Linked DNA regions of Saccharomyces cerevisiae S288C. Changing the gene in region 2 together with the main gene of any one other region gives a genetic interaction. Each region holds a gene or a part of one and is shown on either strand. Other genes may lie near its edges.

Evidence for each region.
Region 1: mutations in PTC3 (region 2) and OAF3 together harm fitness more than expected from each alone (negative genetic interaction), as found in Saccharomyces cerevisiae (one large-scale study listed by BioGRID).
Region 3: mutations in PTC3 (region 2) and VTC5 together harm fitness more than expected from each alone (negative genetic interaction), as found in Saccharomyces cerevisiae (one large-scale study listed by BioGRID).
Region 4: mutations in PTC3 (region 2) and YKR041W together harm fitness more than expected from each alone (negative genetic interaction), as found in Saccharomyces cerevisiae (one large-scale study listed by BioGRID).

The regions. Positions count from the first base shown.
Region 1 is NC_001143.9:559,879-566,166, reverse strand, and holds OAF3 (Oaf3p), read right to left. Parts: upstream 3,621-6,288; coding exon 1,029-3,620; downstream 1-1,028. Other genes in the region: CCP1 (cytochrome-c peroxidase), read left to right, coding at 1-54; PAM17 (Pam17p), read left to right, coding at 275-868; rRNA-processing protein LAS1, read left to right, coding at 3,870-5,378; transcription factor TFIIE subunit TFA2, read right to left, coding at 5,515-6,288. UniProt on the Saccharomyces cerevisiae protein: Transcriptional inhibitor with a significantly increased number of target genes in response to oleate.
Region 2 is NC_001134.8:111,435-116,478, forward strand, and holds PTC3 (type 2C protein phosphatase PTC3), read left to right. Parts: upstream 1-2,327; coding exon 2,328-3,734; downstream 3,735-5,044. Other genes in the region: protein phosphatase regulator SHP1, read left to right, coding at 3-1,274; PTH2 (aminoacyl-tRNA hydrolase), read right to left, coding at 1,367-1,993; YBL055C (3'-5'-exodeoxyribonuclease), read right to left, coding at 4,139-5,044.
Region 3 is NC_001136.10:620,574-626,641, forward strand, and holds VTC5 (Vtc5p), read left to right. Parts: upstream 1-1,538; coding exon 1,539-4,148; downstream 4,149-6,068. Other genes in the region: ILT1 (Ilt1p), read right to left, coding at 4,493-5,425. UniProt on the Saccharomyces cerevisiae protein: Regulatory subunit of the vacuolar transporter chaperone (VTC) complex.
Region 4 is NC_001143.9:516,305-519,450, reverse strand, and holds YKR041W (uncharacterized protein), read right to left. Parts: upstream 1,254-3,146; coding exon 501-1,253; downstream 1-500. Other genes in the region: amino acid permease GAP1, read right to left, coding at 2,580-3,146.

The DNA.
Region 1 (6,288 bases), on a different chromosome or scaffold from region 2:
AAAGACGCGCCCAGTCCATTTATTTTCAAGACTTTAGAGGAACAAGGTTTATAGGTCACTGAGGAAAGATATTATTTATTGGTTATATTTCGTATTATTTATCTATTTATTATATTTATTATTATTTAGGCTTATGCTTTTTTCTGAATATCATCTAATACGTTTGTACGGTACGTCTATGAAAAATGGAAAGCCATACAATGGTATATCATAAGGGAAACTATGTTCAAAGAAGTGTTAAAAACATTCAGAAAACATTGTCCGCCTCTTCAAAATGTTTACCAGTGCCATTAGATTGTCATCGCAAAGACTGTTCGCTAGTCAACCTTCTGTCACCGCTGCGGCATTGCGCTCGACTGCTACAACCTTACCCTTAAGATCATATTCTCAGCCCGCATCCCTTCAAGACTCCAGTATCTTGACATGGTCTGATTTTTTCAAATTGAGGAAACAGCAGCGTAGAATCAATGTTGGTTCTTCGCTGTTTACTGCTCTTTTGGGCTGTAACGTTTCATGGGCTTACCTTTCCACAATGGAAATAGACCCGACTCAAATGCTATTCGGATTCGACCCATTAACTGTAATTTCAGCTGGGATAATAGCCTCTGGTGCACTAGGCTACTTGTTGGGTCCGATAGTTGGTTCGCAAGTTTTCAAACTTTCCCATAACCAACAATTGGCACAGTTCAACAACAAAAATAAAGAGTTTCTAAAACATATCATCAATAACAGGGTCGATGCCTCTTCTCAAAGTTTCAGTAATCCTGTTCCAGATTATTACGGTGAAAAGATAGGTTCCTTAAAGGAATATAAGCAATGGTTAAGAGATTGTCACGCTTACGCAAAGAAAGCCAAAGAATTTTTGTGATTGAACGTGTGATCTTTTCCTTCTTCTCAGACTCTGTATATATACATATATGAATAAAGTAGTGCGATATATAACGCTACTAAATAATTCGAATGAAATAGGGAGGAAGTGAAAGGTATGAATATTGTATATGTCCTATACGTCTCTTTTATCTCTGACTTTAAAAAAATGATACGAAATCCACAGGATCAAAAATATCTTCAATCACGTCAAACTCTGAGACAATTAAATCATTAACAGGCAAAGCGGGTGCTAAAGGTTGTTGTAGTAGTTCTTTTTGCGGAATTTCAGCTACTTGTTCATTCGTAATGCTTATGTTGGTATCAACTTCAGTATGTTTAGCTAATTGTGAACTGGCGTGATCATAAAAGGATGAAAAAATATTAAACCTGTCGGAATATTTCTCCATATCCAAGAATTCTTGCATTTCCTTTATGCGCATTTGAAACTTAAATCCTGTCATATCATCGTTGTATTTACCTATGGGATAAAACTCATTGTTCCATATACTTAGAATATCTGGCCTATACCCATCATATTTTTGTACTGTCTCCTGAAATTCTAGTATTATTGGACAGATGTCATTTAATCTCATATCGTTGTAATCTATATAACTATCACCGTTATCTTCTAGTTTCAATTCATTCAGCAAAAATTTTAAAATAATTCTCCATGCATCTTTTTCACATGAGCGATTCAAGATCTTGTAGGCAATTTTAGCGGTGAACATTTTTCTAAAACAACGATAGTACTCAAAGCCAAATTCGTTAAAATACACAGACGAGACCCCGTAAAGAAATTCTATCATTTTCTTCTTGTCGGCGTACTGAATTGTTTTGAAGCGGTCTCCTCTGAGAATGAATGCCGGAACAATGACCAAAACTTTGTTTGCGACAATTTCCACGATTCTATTGGTATAAAACTTTGTCAATGAATCCACCTCTAAGGCATCACTGTTAAAAAAGTAATTGTAGCACTTCTCTGAGATATGAATGACCATATCCCACAAATCTTGGAAACTCTTATAAAATTTTGTAATATTGCAGTCATATTCATAAAAGATCATTTCTCCGTGCAGCAAACTTAGTGAGAATAAATCTATTATCCATTCCATTTCGAAATCAAAATGACGCATTGTTTCTTTTTCGTTTTTCGACAGGCTTTTTAAAATATGAAAGTTTCTTTTTAAATCATTTATTAGTCGGTGCAACAAGTTCAAATCTACCTTTCCTGGATCATCGTTCAACGTATCGTTTATCTTTTTCATCAAGTTATCCAGGGTTAACATTCGTATATACCATGTGGGTGTATCTGCTTCTTCTTTGAAATGGCACTGCAAGGTTTTCCCAATTTGACATTCTTCACCGCTAATAAAACACATCTTCCTGTCCCAAAATAAAACATAACTCCATATCTTTCTGAAAACTGAAATGTAATCGCTAGGTTTCATTATATCGTATGAAGGCCTCGTATGTCGGTTTATTTTAAATGAATATTTTTCTGGATGAGAGAAGCAATACCAGTTAATGCCCATTTCTTTACATGATGATATTATTGTCCCCATTAAGATTTGACAATATTGAGTTTCGGGTCCATCGCCATCTTCAGGGGCACACCAGTGCAAGAACCTTAGTAATATGAGACATTGCAACTGTAATAAATTACATTTTCTGAGGACCTTCGTCTCGAACAAATAGTGTTTAACAAGAGCCAAAAACTTAGAGGTATCAATTTCTTGAAGAACCGGGTATATATATGGAGTTAGCTTCGAAAACTGGACAGAAAGTCGGCATATTTTAATAATCAACAAGATTATGCAGAAAACCATATGATCGTAGTGTTTTATAGAAATTGGATTCCCTTTCTCGACTATATTTTGATAAAATATCGTTATTTCATGACGCAAAACTTTCATATCGAAAATCGGTATCATATTGTAAATTTTTTCTTCAAAAAGTGCTAAAACCTCACTTTCAAGTATTTTTAAAGGAGGCAAATAATCCTTTGCTAATATAGTTTCTGAGCTGAATTTTTTAGCATTATTTTCTCTGTATTGAGCGAATTTGTTAAACAATGATTTGTGAATAGTCTGATGCATGCGGAAGTTATTGCCCTTACCAACAACATCATCGCTAATGTGGCGTTCGTCATCAGCATCGAAAGTGGATAAAGCTTCGAAAGATTTAGGCAAGCTTCCATTTTTCACATTATTGCCGTTGCTTCCCAATTTATCCATCATTTTTTTGATTGCGATACTTCTAAATGTTACCATTGCTTGGAGATAGGGGTCGCGATTTTCAATTGCTCTATCCGTGAACAGACCAAATAAATTATCAGCAGACCTTTTGGTCTCTAAATAAAACCCATTAGGGATGAGGTCAATAAAAAATGGAGTTTCTTCATGAATTGGTAGATAATAAAGTGATGATTGATTTTCAAGTTCTCGTACTCTTTGCCAGTGATCTTCGTCTTGTCTTGTCTGTGACGATCTTCTTTTCTTAATGAAACCTGGACTTATTCGTTCCGCAGGAGTTGATTGTTTCCTCAGAGGGTCAGCATCATTCAATGAAGGACTGCTTTCAGGTTGTCCAGAGCTATCGGTGAGATAGACACAGCTGTCCACATCTCCCAGTCGTACACATGTTCCACATGGTTTCGTTCGATCGCACTTACTTTTCCTTTTTTTGCAATTTGTGCATACTACAGTAATTCGATGTCGTTTTTTTGTCCTAACTTGGGAGTCATATCCCATTATGAGATCAGTTGTCAACTAAAGTCTGGTATCAATTGGTTTCTAGTTTCTTTCTTCTCTTCATAGACTCATAACACTGCAAAATCGCAACAATAAATTCATGACTTATTGTTATGCAAAAAATTACCCGAATGTGAAAGATTAATAAGCTCATCGCAGTCGCAGAAAGAGTGAAAAAAATACCTAAGAATGCCTAAATTAGCTTAAACAAAAGTCATTTCTAGAAAGCAATGAAAAAAGGGCAATCTAATGATACCACCACGAATCGTTCCATGGAGGGATTTTGCTGAACTAGAGGAGCTGAAACTTTGGTTTTACCCGAAAAGCAAAGGAACCATTGAAGATAAGCGACAGCGTGCAGTGCAAAGAGTACAGAGCTACCGACTAAAGGGTTCCCAATATTTACCTCACGTGGTGGACTCTACAGCACAAATAACATGTGCGGTATTGCTAGACGAAAAGGAAGCGTGTTTAGGAGTACATCAGGATTCTATTCCTATCCGGTTATCGTATGTAATGGCTTTGATTCGGTTTGTCAATGGCTTATTGGATCCAACGCAACAATCTCAGTTCGCTATTCCCTTACACACATTAGCTGCTAAAATTGGACTGCCGTCCTGGTTTGTTGATTTGAGACACTGGGGTACACATGAGAGAGATTTACCTGGATTAGAAATGCTTCGTTGGGCCGCCAATGAAGCGTTATCTTGGCTATATGATCACTACTGGAACGATGAGGAATTAGAAGATGACAGGGATGATGATGACGATGATGATGATACCGGTTACGGATACAGAAGAAATGATAAACTGGAGAAATATATGGAGTCATTAACTAAAACACTTGATAAATGGAAGCGACTTAGAAACGAGTTTCTGGAATACAAATGGGTGTGGGAGAATGCAAACGATAGTTTAATTACAAGTAGTAACTTTTCTGGGGATAATTTGGTGAACTATGATGCCGAAAAGAGGAAAAGTTCACACGCAAGTTCATCAGAAACTATGATCAGGGAAAATTTGCGTCAATGGCAAGAACTTTGGAAATTATCCATTTATCACAATGTGGTTCTTGAGAAATTTTTTAACAATTATGACCCACTTTTACTCAAAGTTTTAATGCTTAATTTGAACAATTTTGATTGGAAGGTCATTGAGTGGGTAGCTAGGAATTACAGAACCCAACAAGATGATAGTAATATAACGACAATTTTAAAAAGGAAATTCAATGCCTGGAAAGAACTACAAAAAAGGCTGTTAGATGTTATTATAAATAACCTTAACAATAAAAATTTTAAAAATAAATGGCAAAATTGGGAGAAACTTATTGATGAAAATGCGTCATACTTGATATTGTATTTTTGCCAATCTATGCTGGCCAAACTAGAGACTGAAAAAATTACTGGTAACTCATGGAGAAACAAAAAACGGAGAAAACAAATTGATAGCACAGTGGAAATCGAGGCAAAACTGAAGGAAAACATAGACAATTTATCATTAAGGTTTAATGAAGGTGAAATAAAGCTGTATGATTTTATTCCTGCGGAAAAAGATTCCGTTCCATTGAAGAAGGAAGTGAGTCCGGCATTAAAGGCTGATACCAATGATATACTAGGCGATTTGGCGTCTTTGAAACAGAGAATGAGCAGTTTCGGAACAGTAGGTAAAAAAAATAAACAAGAGGAGAACAGAGCTACACCAGTAAAAAATTGGTCAAGGGTTCAAAATTGGAAACCCAAACCCTTTGGTGTCCTGTAACCTGTTTCCAATGCTCGTTATAAATACGTTGTAGACTATAAAGCTGAGTTGTATGCTGCACCCTAACGTGCATGTATATATAATCACAGTCTCTTTAACCTAATATGCAAACGAAAATGATTTAATCAAAACAACCTCATACTCTATGGGAATAATCTTTCAAGATACCGGTCATATGAGTGTTAGTAATCTTACCCTTTCTTTGTCTCTTCTTTTTAACTTCAACTCTCTTTGTTTGTCTTTTGATAGTAGCAGGATCGACACTAGCAGGCTTTAGACCTAAATCTTGCAGCTTTCTTGGCAATTCTGCAAATTGCGGTAATTGCACATTTTCCCACATTTTAACAAACTCCTCGTCAATACATTTCAAGTTACCACCGCTGTTATACCAAACGTATCTTGGAGTTTTATCCTTTTTAGTTCTTAACACCAAAATTTTGCTGTCTTCCTCCAGTTGGTTAATCGTTTCATCGCATTGTGGCCAACCGTCTTTCAAGTCTTTGCAGGAAATACCTTTGAATGTTACTTGTGAACGTAACAACTTCAGCAGTTCCGAAGGGGAATGGACATCGTAGGTGGAAAGGTATTTGAAAGTCCCCTTCTTGGGGTCAAACTCTATTCTATCTAATTTTTTTAAAAGCTCAATAACCTTGTCATCTTTTTTCATTGACAAGTAGTCCAATAACTCATTCACCAAAACGGGCTTACCTTTCTTTTGAATGTATTCAGTCGCCCAAAGCAACTTTGAAGAATCGTGACTCTTGGAAATATCTGTTTGATTTGCTTGTAAAGCGGCTGCAGCAATAGAGCCAGGCCTTACTTTTTTTGAAGGAGAGCTACCAAAATCTTCGTCGTCATCGTCGTCATCTAATGAAATAGCATTAGAGCTATTGCTCCCAGCTTCTTTCTT
Region 2 (5,044 bases):
GTATGGCGGAAATACCTGATGAAACCATCCAGCAGTTCATGGCATTGACCAATGTGTCGCATAACATAGCCGTTCAATATCTCTCTGAATTTGGAGATTTAAATGAAGCACTAAATTCCTATTATGCTTCTCAAACGGATGACCAAAAGGATAGAAGAGAGGAAGCACATTGGAACAGACAGCAGGAGAAGGCCCTCAAGCAAGAAGCCTTCTCCACCAACTCTTCGAATAAAGCCATAAATACGGAGCACGTTGGTGGGTTATGTCCAAAACCAGGATCCTCACAAGGTAGCAACGAGTACTTGAAAAGGAAAGGTTCTACCTCTCCTGAACCAACCAAGGGTAGTAGCCGCTCTGGAAGTGGTAACAACTCCAGGTTTATGAGCTTTTCGGATATGGTAAGAGGTCAAGCTGATGATGACGATGAAGATCAACCGAGAAATACTTTTGCTGGTGGTGAAACATCCGGCTTAGAGGTTACAGATCCTTCAGATCCTAATTCATTACTGAAGGATTTGCTGGAAAAAGCGAGAAGGGGTGGTCAAATGGGCGCTGAAAACGGATTCCGTGATGACGAAGACCATGAAATGGGTGCCAATAGGTTTACTGGAAGAGGTTTTAGATTAGGGTCAACCATCGACGCAGCAGATGAAGTCGTAGAAGACAACACTTCACAATCACAACGTAGACCAGAAAAAGTCACAAGAGAAATTACATTTTGGAAGGAAGGTTTTCAAGTGGCCGATGGTCCGCTTTATCGCTATGATGATCCTGCGAACAGTTTCTATTTGAGCGAGTTAAATCAAGGGAGGGCTCCATTAAAGCTCTTAGATGTGCAATTTGGACAAGAAGTTGAAGTTAATGTATATAAAAAATTAGATGAGTCTTATAAAGCTCCGACGAGAAAACTGGGCGGTTTTTCAGGCCAGGGCCAAAGACTAGGATCTCCTATCCCGGGTGAATCGTCACCTGCGGAGGTTCCAAAGAATGAGACACCCGCTGCTCAGGAACAACCCATGCCGGACAATGAGCCAAAACAAGGCGACACCTCCATCCAAATTAGATACGCAAATGGCAAAAGAGAAGTTTTGCACTGCAATTCCACAGATACAGTAAAGTTTTTGTATGAGCATGTGACATCAAATGCGAACACTGACCCATCGAGGAATTTCACCTTGAATTATGCCTTTCCTATCAAACCAATAAGCAACGATGAGACAACATTGAAGGACGCTGATCTGCTGAACTCCGTTGTCGTGCAAAGATGGGCATGAGCATAAATATACAAAAACAGAAACGGGAAAAGACTTCAACTTAATATATAAATGCACGTATATCTATACCCGTAGTATATATCATTTGTACCTCAATACAATTTCAAATCACCTGTTATTTGATCCAATACTGCTTTTGGAGCAGGTCCTAAACCCAATACGGTGGCACTTCCCGCAGCAATCTGTGTTCTACCAGCATCATGAATAACTGCTGCATTCACCCCAAGTGATATAGCCTTCGCATACAACTCGTCCATTGTAAACTTATCTGGACATTTCAACGTTATTTTAGCCTGTCCAGCATTTAGCCATCTTTGTGTCATAATTGGGTTGTATGAAGCACGCGCGGGGTTTGTAGCAATATGTCTAAAACATGACAATGCTGCGTGACAGCATTGTGCCGCTATTTTGCCCTTTGTCATGCCAAGATCTTGACGAATCACCAATGCCATCCTAACTTCTCCAGGTATATCATTCAATGAAGTGGACTCAATATCTTCGTCCTCATCGCTCTCATCTTCGCTTTCACTTTCCTCCTCATCAGTGTCATTGTGTAGCTTTCCTTCCTTCATTTCTTTAGAACGCAGTAAAGTAGCTGAGGATTTCTTAGTTGATGATGCGTTCGACGTACCCAACTGGTAACCCACGGCAAAGGAGATTGCGGTGAAAGTAGCCCATAAAGCTATGGTGTAATTCGAAGAAACTGTCATCTTTTCCATTAAAAAGACGTTATCATGTTACTCCGCTGTCAACAAGTAATATAGCAAGAAACAATTAGCTCTTATGCTTAAGAGCTTCTAGAAGAGTAGTAATAACCTTTAAACATTATTTTCGTCAGGCGTGATATCAGCGAGTTGAAGAAAAAACAACATGGGTTGTCCCTCAAGAGAATAAACTCAAAGGAGTAAAAGGTGTTTAGAGCTTGTTGGCTCGATTGTTGCCACCGGAAGGCCCCTTTCTGTTTTTAGACTATATTCATTTTACTTTTTGAAGTTTCTATTATAGGCAGACGAAGAAGGCCAAGAAGACAAATCGAAGAAAGAGAGAGATAACATGGGTCAAATATTGTCCAATCCAATTATCGACAAAGAGCATCATTCTGGTACGGACTGTTTGACAGCGTTTGGACTATGTGCCATGCAAGGCTGGCGTATGTCCATGGAAGATGCCCATATTGTTGAGCCGAACCTTTTGGCTGAGTCTGACGAGGAACATCTCGCATTTTATGGTATATTTGACGGTCATGGTGGTTCTTCTGTAGCGGAGTTTTGTGGCTCTAAAATGATATCTATACTGAAAAAACAGGAGAGCTTCAAGAGCGGTATGTTAGAGCAGTGCTTAATAGATACCTTTTTAGCTACAGATGTTGAGTTGTTGAAAGATGAAAAATTAAAAGATGACCATAGTGGTTGTACAGCAACTGTGATATTGGTATCTCAATTGAAAAAGCTACTAATTTGCGCCAATTCCGGTGATAGTAGAACAGTTCTATCTACTGGTGGTAATAGTAAAGCAATGTCATTTGATCATAAGCCCACATTGTTAAGTGAAAAATCTCGTATTGTAGCTGCTGATGGTTTTGTTGAGATGGACCGTGTTAATGGAAATTTAGCGTTATCAAGAGCCATAGGTGATTTTGAATTCAAATCTAACACAAAATTGGGACCTCATGAGCAAGTCGTTACATGTGTTCCTGATATCATTTGTCACAATTTGAATTATGATGAGGATGAATTTGTTATTTTAGCATGTGATGGTATTTGGGATTGTTTAACTTCTCAAGAGTGTGTTGACTTGGTTCACTACGGTATAAGTCAAGGTAATATGACGTTGAGCGACATTTCATCTAGAATCGTAGATGTTTGTTGTTCACCCACAACTGAAGGCTCAGGAATTGGCTGTGATAATATGAGTATTTCCATTGTTGCTTTACTAAAGGAAAATGAATCTGAGTCACAATGGTTTGAGCGTATGAGATCAAAAAATTACAATATCCAAACGTCTTTTGTCCAAAGAAGGAAAAGTATTTTTGATTTCCATGATTTTTCGGATGATGATAACGAAGTGTTCGCAATAACCACCAAAAAATTACAAGACCGCTTGAATCGTAGTAAAGATAATGACGACATGGAAATTGATGATCTTGATACCGAATTAGGCAGCAGTGCTACTCCCTCAAAGTTATCAGGTGAGGATAGAACTGGCCCTATTGACTTGTTTTCGTTGGAGGCTCTATTAGAAGCCGGGATTCAAATAAGGCAGAGGCCCAGCTCCGACAGTGACGGCAACACTTCTTATTTCCATGGTGCTTCTTTATCAGATATGTTGGCATCTTTAAGCAATGCGGCTGCAGGAGAAACAGAACCTAATGATGCTGATGATAACGATGATAACGACGGCGAAGAAAACGGCAAGAATGAAAATGCGAAGAAGGGTTCCAAGATTGAAGAAATTGAATAATAAATATTGTCGAACCGTACTTTGCAACGAAAGAGTAGTCAAACTTTGTTATCTTTATTTGTTATTCCTCTTCTGCCGATGGATTGTTTTTTACTGGATCATCTTTGCGGCCCATATTGAGGAGATGGTGAAATTCATAAAAATCATTACGAGAGAATGATAAATTGTAACAGAATTTATAAATCCTATTCATATAGATACATCTGTTTTTCCTTACTCTGTTTTTATTTTGTTGGTAACCTTTGAATCCTTTTTGATGAAAAAAATAGAAAAAAAAAAAAAAAAAAAATGAAAGCAATATCGACTGTATGTATATGCGCACCATAATTTTCCTATTAATAGTTTAAGCATAATTAGTGTACTTACTAAAAATAATGTAACTTTGCTCTTTGCACCAATAGATGTTACTCTCCAAATATCTTACAGGTCGTCTTCCACGTGGTATCTATCAAAGTAGCCAGATCCACGTCCTTGACTTCCGATACGACAATTGCTACTTGTTCCATATTACAAGGCTCATTACGGCCCTTGACCATGTAAAGTTCTTCTGCATTCAACTTGTCAGCGAGCTTATTTTTCTTAACGGACTTGAATGCAGGGTATTCGAAATCCCTAACCTCCTGGTATTTGGCTAAGTACTGGAAAGATGCATGCGTTCTTTTAATCTCACACCACGGAGCATCTGTCTCTAATAACAACCTTTCTGTTGGTATTTGCTTTACAACAGCTAGATTTTCCTCGGTTCTCAACGAGCAACCGTTTACTCCTATGAAGATGTTGGGTGATAAGTTCAGTAATTTCTGCAAATCTATCGCAGAACCAGTGAATGAATGGACCACTAGTTTTCTATCTGGATGAAATTTGTAAAACCCGCTAGACGACGATGCACCTAACTTTTGTAGCTGAAAGGTATCCCTCTCATCAGTGAACCCGGCAATAAATCTTTCCAATATTTGAACAAAATCGTCACATGCGCTTCTCATATGCAGAAACAATGGATAGCTGCTGAGTTTATCGTTCAAACAACTTATTTTCAGTTGCTCTTCAAAAAAAACCTTTTGCATCTCTTTAGAACTATAGTGAAATCTGTCGTAGTCCAACCCGATCTCACCAATTGACCTGAAACTTGTATCATGAGGTTTTGCTTGCTGATTCATCAAATCATAAAGCTCTTTCAGTTTACCCTGTGCAAAAGATGGATTACTAATAACTTTAGCATATAGAGACTCATTATATGCTTCATCCATGGAAGGGTTATCAATAGAAGCGCTAGCCTTGTCCCCTTGACTAGCATCCGCAAACTCGTTAAC
Region 3 (6,068 bases), on a different chromosome or scaffold from region 2:
CATTTCTTTTTGGTCATCTCCTTGCAGAGCATTTGATAATATAGTAGTAATAATGAATTGTAGTCGATAAATGTTAGTTGATTCTCATTCCTATCGTATCGATAAGGAAACCTGAGAAATACCAAGGTTCAACGATAATGGCAAACATGCTTCATTAATCGGTATTCTTGATCAAATACTTCCTTGCCTGCCATACGGCATCCCTTAATCGCAAAATAGTAATATTCTTTCCAACTATATAACCGTTATTTTAACACACATTTCTCAAGAGACCCCTTTCTAGAAATGGCATGGAGTGGCAAGTATCTTCAAGCTATTTTTTAGTTGTTCATGTACTCCATAGAGTGACGGTTCTTGCAATTTCAACTAGTTTCAAGATAGTCATAAAAATTTGCAACCGAGCCCATTACTATATATATATATATACAAAAAATTTTAACATTAAACCTTGAGCTCGGGTTTTATCTCATACCAAGTATTATCAACCTTTGGCCGGTGTGTTCCTAATATGGTATCGATTTTCAAGTATACCGTGTAACATTTGGTTTTTGAATTATCCAGGGGTATTGCAAGGAATATCGTGGATCCTGCCATATGAAGGCGTGGATCTTAATTTATTCACCTTTACTGATCGTACCAAACGAAGTAAGCGTAGAAAGCTAACCAATTTCCTCTTGTTACAGAGAGAAAACTTTTCTTGTACAGTAAACTGAATATGCTACGTCGTAGACTTACAATGACGCCGCACTTAGGGATAGTAGTTACCTTGCTCACTTTACTGTCGTGATCATTACACCCGTACGTAATCGATGATCATTGCAGGAGAGGGGCACTTTGGTCTGACATCACTTTTTTTACCTAATCAAATAGATTGGCTTTTATTTGACAGATAAGGTTTATGATCTCTTTTTTCGAATGGAAAGTTCCATGCAGGCACCCTTTATCTCATTGTATTTAAACTACATATAGAATGGATGGAAACGTGGCAAGTCATATCAGGACGCTTTGAAGACTGATAATTAAAAACATTAAACAAGTTTCCAGATATCAGGAAGCGACCAAGCCAATATTCAGAACTTTCGTTTCGAAAAACACAGTAATATATTATTCTCAAAAATTACCACACTTTTTTTAGGCAAGGCTGCAAAATAATACCAGAAAAGCAGAGGCGGTTCTTAACTTCTGTGTAAATTCAGTGCAGGAGGACGGGTGTTGTGTTATTAACTTGCAAGGAAAAGAAAGTTTGTGTCTCCCCTTGTTCTACGCTAGCGAAATGGGTGTGTGGAAGAGTCAAAACTGAACCAAGAAAAAAAAAAAAAAAAAAACAAAACAGATAAAAAGATAAACAAAGGCAAGATCAAAAAGCCCTATCGTGAACGCTATCAAAGGACTTTTAAAATTCATAAATTAATAGTTCGTCCGTTGCCCTCTTGAATATAATAGAGATAGAGTTTAATACTTGCTTTTTACCTTTGCTTTTTTTTTGTATATCTCCATCTCAGCCCTAGGTAAGGATAGATACGAAGGGTTGTACAATCATGAAATTTGAAGATCGCATATTGAATAAATCAATCCCTGAATGGAAATTCTACAATATTAACTATGAGAAGTTAAAAGTAGCCATAAAAAAAGTAACGGCTTATGATTATGACAATCCAAATGATTCGGGCATGGAGAAGTTGTTGAATCAATGTTCAGTAGCCTTTGACCAGGAATTTCAAAATGTTAATTTATTTGTTTCTTTGAAAATAAAGGAAATTTCCACTCGTATTCTTTCTGTGGAATCATCAATAATCGATTTTTCAAAGGGCTTAAACAAAACTTCCAGAAACCGTTTCAACCTTCGTAAACTGAAAATCATCAACGCTCATGTAGACGATTGTAACTTTGAACTACAACTACTGTCAAGGTTTTTGATAATACAAAGGATTGCCTTGAGAAAGTTATTCAAAAAATTACTAAATGAATTTCCTCAAGACAGTGAAAATCCATTGACTGCAAGTGAGTATGTTACGTCGATCAGAAACTCTGAAAGTTTACGAAATGGACACGAAGGCATATCATTTATGAAGCTTGATTTAGATCCATATCTTTTAGAAGTTTCGCTAATTGTTGATGTTTTACATGATTTGGAAAATAAACTTGAAGATGCAACTGAGCCAGCAGTGGAGCAAAGATCCCTAAACCGCTCCGATGAATCTGCCCATACAAGTTCAAGTCCAGAAGCCAACAATTCTTCCTTGCCAGCATCTCCAAGGTCAATTCCGCTACTTTCAAACAAGAAAACTTCAAAAATGATTGATTCTTCGCTAGAATTCGATACTGCCCTCATAGATAAAGCAGAGAATCTAGGAAGGTTTTTATTATCGTCCGAGGACATAGAGGGACTGAAGTTCATGCTATTGAATATTGGTTTTAGGATAATTGACGATAGCATCATATCCACTTCAAAGGAGATTTTAGACACTACAGATAATATTAATTCTGCGGGCAACAAATCTATAAGATCAGCAAAGTCATTCAATGACTTACAACATACCTTATCCCTATCTAAACAGAAGAACATATTACCCTCTGCTGTACAATCCAATGAGAAGTACGTTTCTATTAGTATACTAGATACTGTCGGGAACGAAGGCAGTCCTTTACTACTTACTGATGATAATATAAATCAGCACCCAAACATGATAGTCAGCTCTACTGCTGAGGATACTTGTATAGTAATGTGCCACGTGGGCGGCTTAAGAAATCATGTTGTCACAAATGATCTGCTTCTAAGGGATGTAAAGAATATTCTTTCGGCCATGAGGAGTGGCAACGACACAAAAAATATTAGCGCTCTCATAAACTCACTGGATCCATCGCCAATCAGTAAGATCGCTTTGGAGTGGATTCAGTCCCATCGATTAAAAACCATTGAACCAAAGCTAGATTTTAAAAGAACAAGATTCATATCAGCAGACAATGGAGATATATACTTGATAGCTTTGGATGAATCTATCACTATTGGAAATGTATCTACATTACCCTTTCCAATTTTAGAAATTAAAAAGCTTAGTCGATCCAGTGGTCTTTCACAGACGGCTATTAATGAAGACAATAAGTTTAAACAGTTAATGAAATCAGTTGTTACAAATGAGTTTCAATGCAGCTTAATACCACCAGACTTAACCACATGGAAAATATGTTTAGAATTAGTACACTCAAATGAATTGCAAAATGATTTATTTCAACTTTTACTAAGAGATCAATATAAATTAAATTCCGATGATTCGCTATCACCTGATGAATTTTTCCAGCTGGGCAAGGATCGTCTAGAGGAAGAGTTTGACCTGACTGGGCCGATAAACAACTCACAAGGTAGTGTTGACAGCGGCAGAAGAGTTCGAATTCACAAAAAATCAAAGCAATCGGATAATGAAACTAAAAAGAAACCTATTAGGTATTGGAATGAATTTGATGAACAAGAAGAGGATAATTTAGACAATGCTTTTTACATTGATACTAATGGAAGCAGGAGTACAACAGATAACGAAGAATCCTTACTTTTGAGAAATTCTCCGCCTGATTATGGGTTTATTTTGTTTAGCCGGAATTTCATCAACCGCACATATGATTTTTGTGAGAAGTTACGAAACTTGATTCGCCATGACAAGAAAACATCGCCAGATTTGTTTCAAAACTCTAAGCATCCGCATTGTTCATCAACTAACTATGGTTCTGTTGCGTCATTTGGTTCACAATCAACTTCAGCGTCATATGATGACGTTCAAAGGTACTTACAGTATCAACAGCAAGACATAGAGGACTCACAATCTATCTACGAATATAGGCATGACGAAGTTGTTACATTTTTATACTTGTCTGCACTGCTAACATCTTGCATTATGGCAAGTGTATGTCTGGGAATCGTTTTATCCTTGTTTCGCGGGCAAAGTAATAATGAGATAGATTTAGAAATTCAAAATATTCTCATAGCCATTATTATCATTTCCTTACTGGTTTCCCTTATTTTGATCTGTGCGTGCCTGTTGTTGTTATTTAGTCGGTTCACTTTGGCGCCAATCTGGCATTATGTTGGTTGCTTCACAATGTTTTTCTCAGTTACTGGAACAGTGTGCTATGGTATGATTGAAATTTTCTTTTAATTATTTTGGACGATAAAAGTTTTTCATGTGTACAGTCTATATAAAATATGCATATCATGTGGTTACATAAGAAGAATGTTAATCTTGTTTGGAGATTTTGTTTTTGGAAACTTCGCCATTGCGAAGGGTGTTGCAAACTGAATTTCTGTTTAAGTTTTTAATTAATAATCCTTATTTTGATCTTTTCTGATGGCCGTGTTTGAACGCATAGTATTGTGAATATAAGCGAAGTGAAAACCTTTACACCTGCGGCAGATGCCATATTACTGCGCTAGTGGTGAATATTATTAAGCGTGCTATCAAAAAGAGATGAAAACGTGCTAACTAAAAAGGACTCAGATTCGTTACACACTTAGCCTCGAATAACGATCAGGATCTGTTCTAACCACAACTCCATGGACAGCATGCAATGTTTGGGCTCTTGATAACGTCCCCCCATCAGTACTATCGTATATATTAAAATCGTCTGCAAAGCTCGAAGCATCGTCGGGGATTGAACAGTTATCCAGGTTATAGTTAGTAACATTTCGGTCACTCTTGCTAATATCTTGTTCGATTTTTTCATCGGGTTCTTCCTTTTGAGCTTGGCCACTTTCTTCGTCAAAAGTATTGCCTTTAGCTAGGAATCTAAACCTACACCACCATATGAAATGAGACGCGAAAATTCCTAACTCCATTCCAGCAACTATTGAGTATAATATAATACCCATAATATCCATATTACCTAGGATAACACTGATGATAGATAGCCAAGCACCTAATGAATCGATGAATAAGAAGGCAAAGTTGATGCCAATAACACGACCTTTCCTTTTGGCTAGTTCAAAGTAAGGTGGAAGCAGTCCGACAGCTAACAAAACAGATGCAGAAATACCAAAAATCAGATCGGGCCATTTAACACCCTTCTCGTAAAGGGGCCTCAGCCATAATATAAAGCCAACTTCCATGCCAACATCAGCCGCAATAATAGCAGCTACAATCATTACTATTTTGGATCTCGCCATACTGATTGGTGGATAATAACACGATTGGACGAAACTTATAGAACAGAAGAACATAAAAAGGTGTGGTTGAACTTGTAAAATGACATTACCTTTACTAACACAGAAATATATGGCAAATGGAATTCCGGAAACAACCCAGAGGAACATCATCAGTGGTGGCAGCCCCGTACAGTCCTTTTTTTTCCAATTATATATTATTTGCGGAATTAGCTGGACACACCAGCAAACTGTTGCTATAGTAGCTAAAGCGGTAGCAGCCTTTTCAGAGATCATGAATACCTTATTCTTAAATCTATGTTATGTTATAGTATTCCACAGTTTATATTTCAGCGGTTAATTTGAAAATAGAGATCAGCGGAAAGTAGAAGGCACCAGAAGGAAAGCATTATTTATATGAGTTTCGTTTGGTACGAGAAGTGTGATACAGAGGTAATCTACCTATCTAGTCATTGAAAAATGCTATCAAGAAACGGCGTTCTCATATTACCCGAAGCACCTTATCTGGCGCTCACACCGCGGAAATAATTGGGTGATATTTTAGACAAACGGACTTTAATGTCATGCTAAGATAAACGTTCAGTAATGCAGCAAATGCTTATCATGACGACTCGTTTACAAGGTAAATTCGATTACGAAGAAGGTGCGGACAAAATAACGATTAATTAAAATACAATAGGTATATAAAATAAATAGAGAATAAATATAGTGTAGTTGCTTTACAGAAAAATGAAATAAACTGGAGTACGGATCACCGAAGAGGAGGTTGTTCACTTTCAGGTTATGATGTAATGAAGGTGGGAAGTTAGAAATGTATTAGTTGGCGTATATCTAGAAATAAACAACCCGATGCTTGGGAAGGAACTCAATGTAATATAATACTCATTTTGTTTTGCAAAAACATTATAACTCTTAATTA
Region 4 (3,146 bases), on a different chromosome or scaffold from region 2:
AAAAATGAATGAATGAATAAAAAATAAACGAAGTTTAAGGAATGAATACACTGGAAATTGTGTGGTCGTACTTTTTTTTTTTTCTTCTTAGTTACCGATGAAAGGAGCGTAAATTGCGGTTTAAAATCTTTGCTGAGCTTTGATCTGGGAGACGCCGAGGTCTCGAGAAGGAAACACATTAGATGGTATTCACTTATATACCCGAATCAGGAGAAACAAAGGCGAAAAAAAGGAAAAATTTTGTTTTGTCTGCTTTTTTCTTTTTCCGCACGACCCGGGCCGGGCCGTGCAGAAAGACCTACTTGCCCAAAAGCGGCAAAACGTCAACACCACCTCTACATTTCTTTTTATGGACTCATTAGGTTTCCCGATCTGGAAAAGAAAGGGCTTTTCCAGTGCCGCGGCCTCGAGATCCAGGCACCAGGAACTAGGCACGCTGTGTATTCTAACACATTGAAGGGCCTAGGCCCGCTGACGTGGGGTCTAGTTCCACTTTTTCATTACCTTTTCTCGGTCTTTTCTTGCTCCCACAGGCCGTTAATGGCCTGAAACAGTTTTGTGACTTTGGACTTATGATAACGATGTTTGTCCGGGTGCCACCGGATTCTATCGCGGCGAATCAAGTCTAGTCTGTTTGCATCCATCAAGGCACTGCTCATTGTGTAAAATTGTTCTACGCTTTTGTCATCAATCATATCTAAACTCACAGCCGCTAGGGTAGGTGTGCCTGGCAGTGGTAAGGTAGCCGGCTCGTCTTTGGTCATGCGCCAATACTGTCGAACGGCCCGCGCGTAGCGTTCTTCGGCTTCAACCTTAGAGCTGATACCTTTTGCCTGGTCAAAGGCGAAAACGTCTACCTCGCTTTCACTGCTGCTTTCGCTTTCATGACTTCGTTTCAAGCGGTCTCTTTCGCTCTCGGTTGTAACACACTTGTAGCCTGCTATGCTTTCACCGTACTCGAAAAGCGTAGCCTCATGACTAGTTGTACCAACGCCCTTTCTTTTCTTTTTTTTCTCTTGACACTTCGGCGTATTCATCGCCACTGGTACAAGCCGTATGGTGCTTTTTTGCTCATTTTCGTTTTGACGTTGCGATGGTTTCGCGGACCAATCGCATGGGTGGTGGTGGATGTTGTCTTTGCTAGTTGCAACGTAGTCTTCTTCTCTCCTGCGCTTTCTGACGAAAATTGGCCTTACGTATCTTTTTTCGGCGTCGTTGTCGTCATCGCTGTTCATATAATCGTCGTCACTCATATCGGCGCTTTTACTGCATGCTGTCTTTTGAAGAGAGTTTCATTGAAAAGTAGTGAAGAAAAAAAAAAAAAAAAAAAAAAAAAAAAGGAAAAAAGCTTACATACGGAAAGAGAAAAAAAAAAAAAGAAATTTTAAAATGGACGAGTCCGGAATCGAACCGGAGACCTCTCCCATGCTAAGGGAGCGCGCTACCGACTACGCCACACGCCCATAGTAGATATATTTTCTGATGTCCTAGGAATTGGATCATATATTTTTACAAGAATGTGATGTATCAAACAAGCTTGGAGTGGAGTATTCATGATATAATTACCGTTCTCAACCCGCTAAGTCCCAAATACTATCTTTGTGTTGGCTGTTCAATCTCCGGAATTTGTGCATTTGCAATCAATGACAGGGCTTATATCAAGATCTGTTGGAATAAAAATCCACTATCGTCTATCAACTAATAGTTATATTATCAATATATTATCATATACGGTGTTAAGATGATGACATAAGTTATGAGAAGCTGTCATCGAAGTTAGAGGAAGCTGAAGTGCAAGGATTGATAATGTAATAGGATAATGAAACATATAAAACGGAATGAGGAATAATCGTAATATTAGTATGTAGAAATATAGATTCCATTTTGAGGATTCCTATATCCTTGAGGAGAACTTCTAGTATATTCTGTATACCTAATATTATAGCCTTTATCAACAATGGAATCCCAACAATTATCTCAACATTCCCCCATTTCTCAAGATCATAAGAGGGGATTTCCTTATGAGGAAAAGAGCGGAGCCGCAGTGAAAGTTAATAACGATTTAACTTTTTTTGTCTCAATTACGTTTTAAATGTCATTTATAGTAGGAAAATGTTTAACAAGCAGTGAAACTGCAAAGTTTAGTTATCGGAGTGGCGGAAAAAAAAAGGAACTCCGAATCCCCAAAGTTCAATAAGGAAATGGGGAGTAAGGAGGCTGAATTAGTTTGAAACAAAACTGCTACCAGCGGATTTAATCGGAATCAATTAAAATATCAAACAAAATGCGGGGAAATCATATTGATTGATTGAAGCTCACACAGATTAGTTTTCATCTCGCTGTCTACTAAAAGATTTATTTTTACATTTCCTAGAAAAACATAAATAAAATAACAAAAAGTAAAAAAATAGAAATACCTTACTTTCTTTCATAGTATAATTTATCTTATTAGTGCACGGAAATATACAATTTTTGACTATAAACATTTCCCTTTTTTCTTTAGATTAATGACGAGAAAATAAATATATTTATTATGATTATCTAAAAAATAAAGTCTTTTTTTGTCGTTGTTCGATTCATTAACACCAGAAATTCCAGATTCTATACCATCTTGGCTTTGTGGCCATAATTGCCTTTTCTTCTGCAATTTCTTGTTTCAACAAATCTAAATCGACTTCTCTTCTACCCGTATCAATGTCCATCTTTTCTGCTGGGATGAAAAGCTTCCAATTCCTCTTATAGATCTTGTGTCCGATGTACATAACCATAACAAGTGGGAAGGATAGATAAGCTTCGAAGAAACCTTCCGCACTTGGAGAATCTCCCACGGGGAATACAGCAACGTAGAATTGGGCAATGAACATAATAATAACCATAAATAACCCCCAGTAGGAACCCCAAACACCGGTAGGAGACTTGAAAGACAATTCATCCAAGCCTCTTCCTTGGGCGGCCAATGCCTTTCTGAAACGAATGTGACAAATACAGATACCACCCCATGTGAATAGAGATGACAACCCAGACAAGGCTAGTAACCAGTTGAAAACTTCACCTTCCTTTTTGGAGGCGGCAACAAACGCAATAAGACCGAATGCAGATGTGACAGCAATTCCCACCAATGGTCTACCCTTACGGTCAACGTAGGA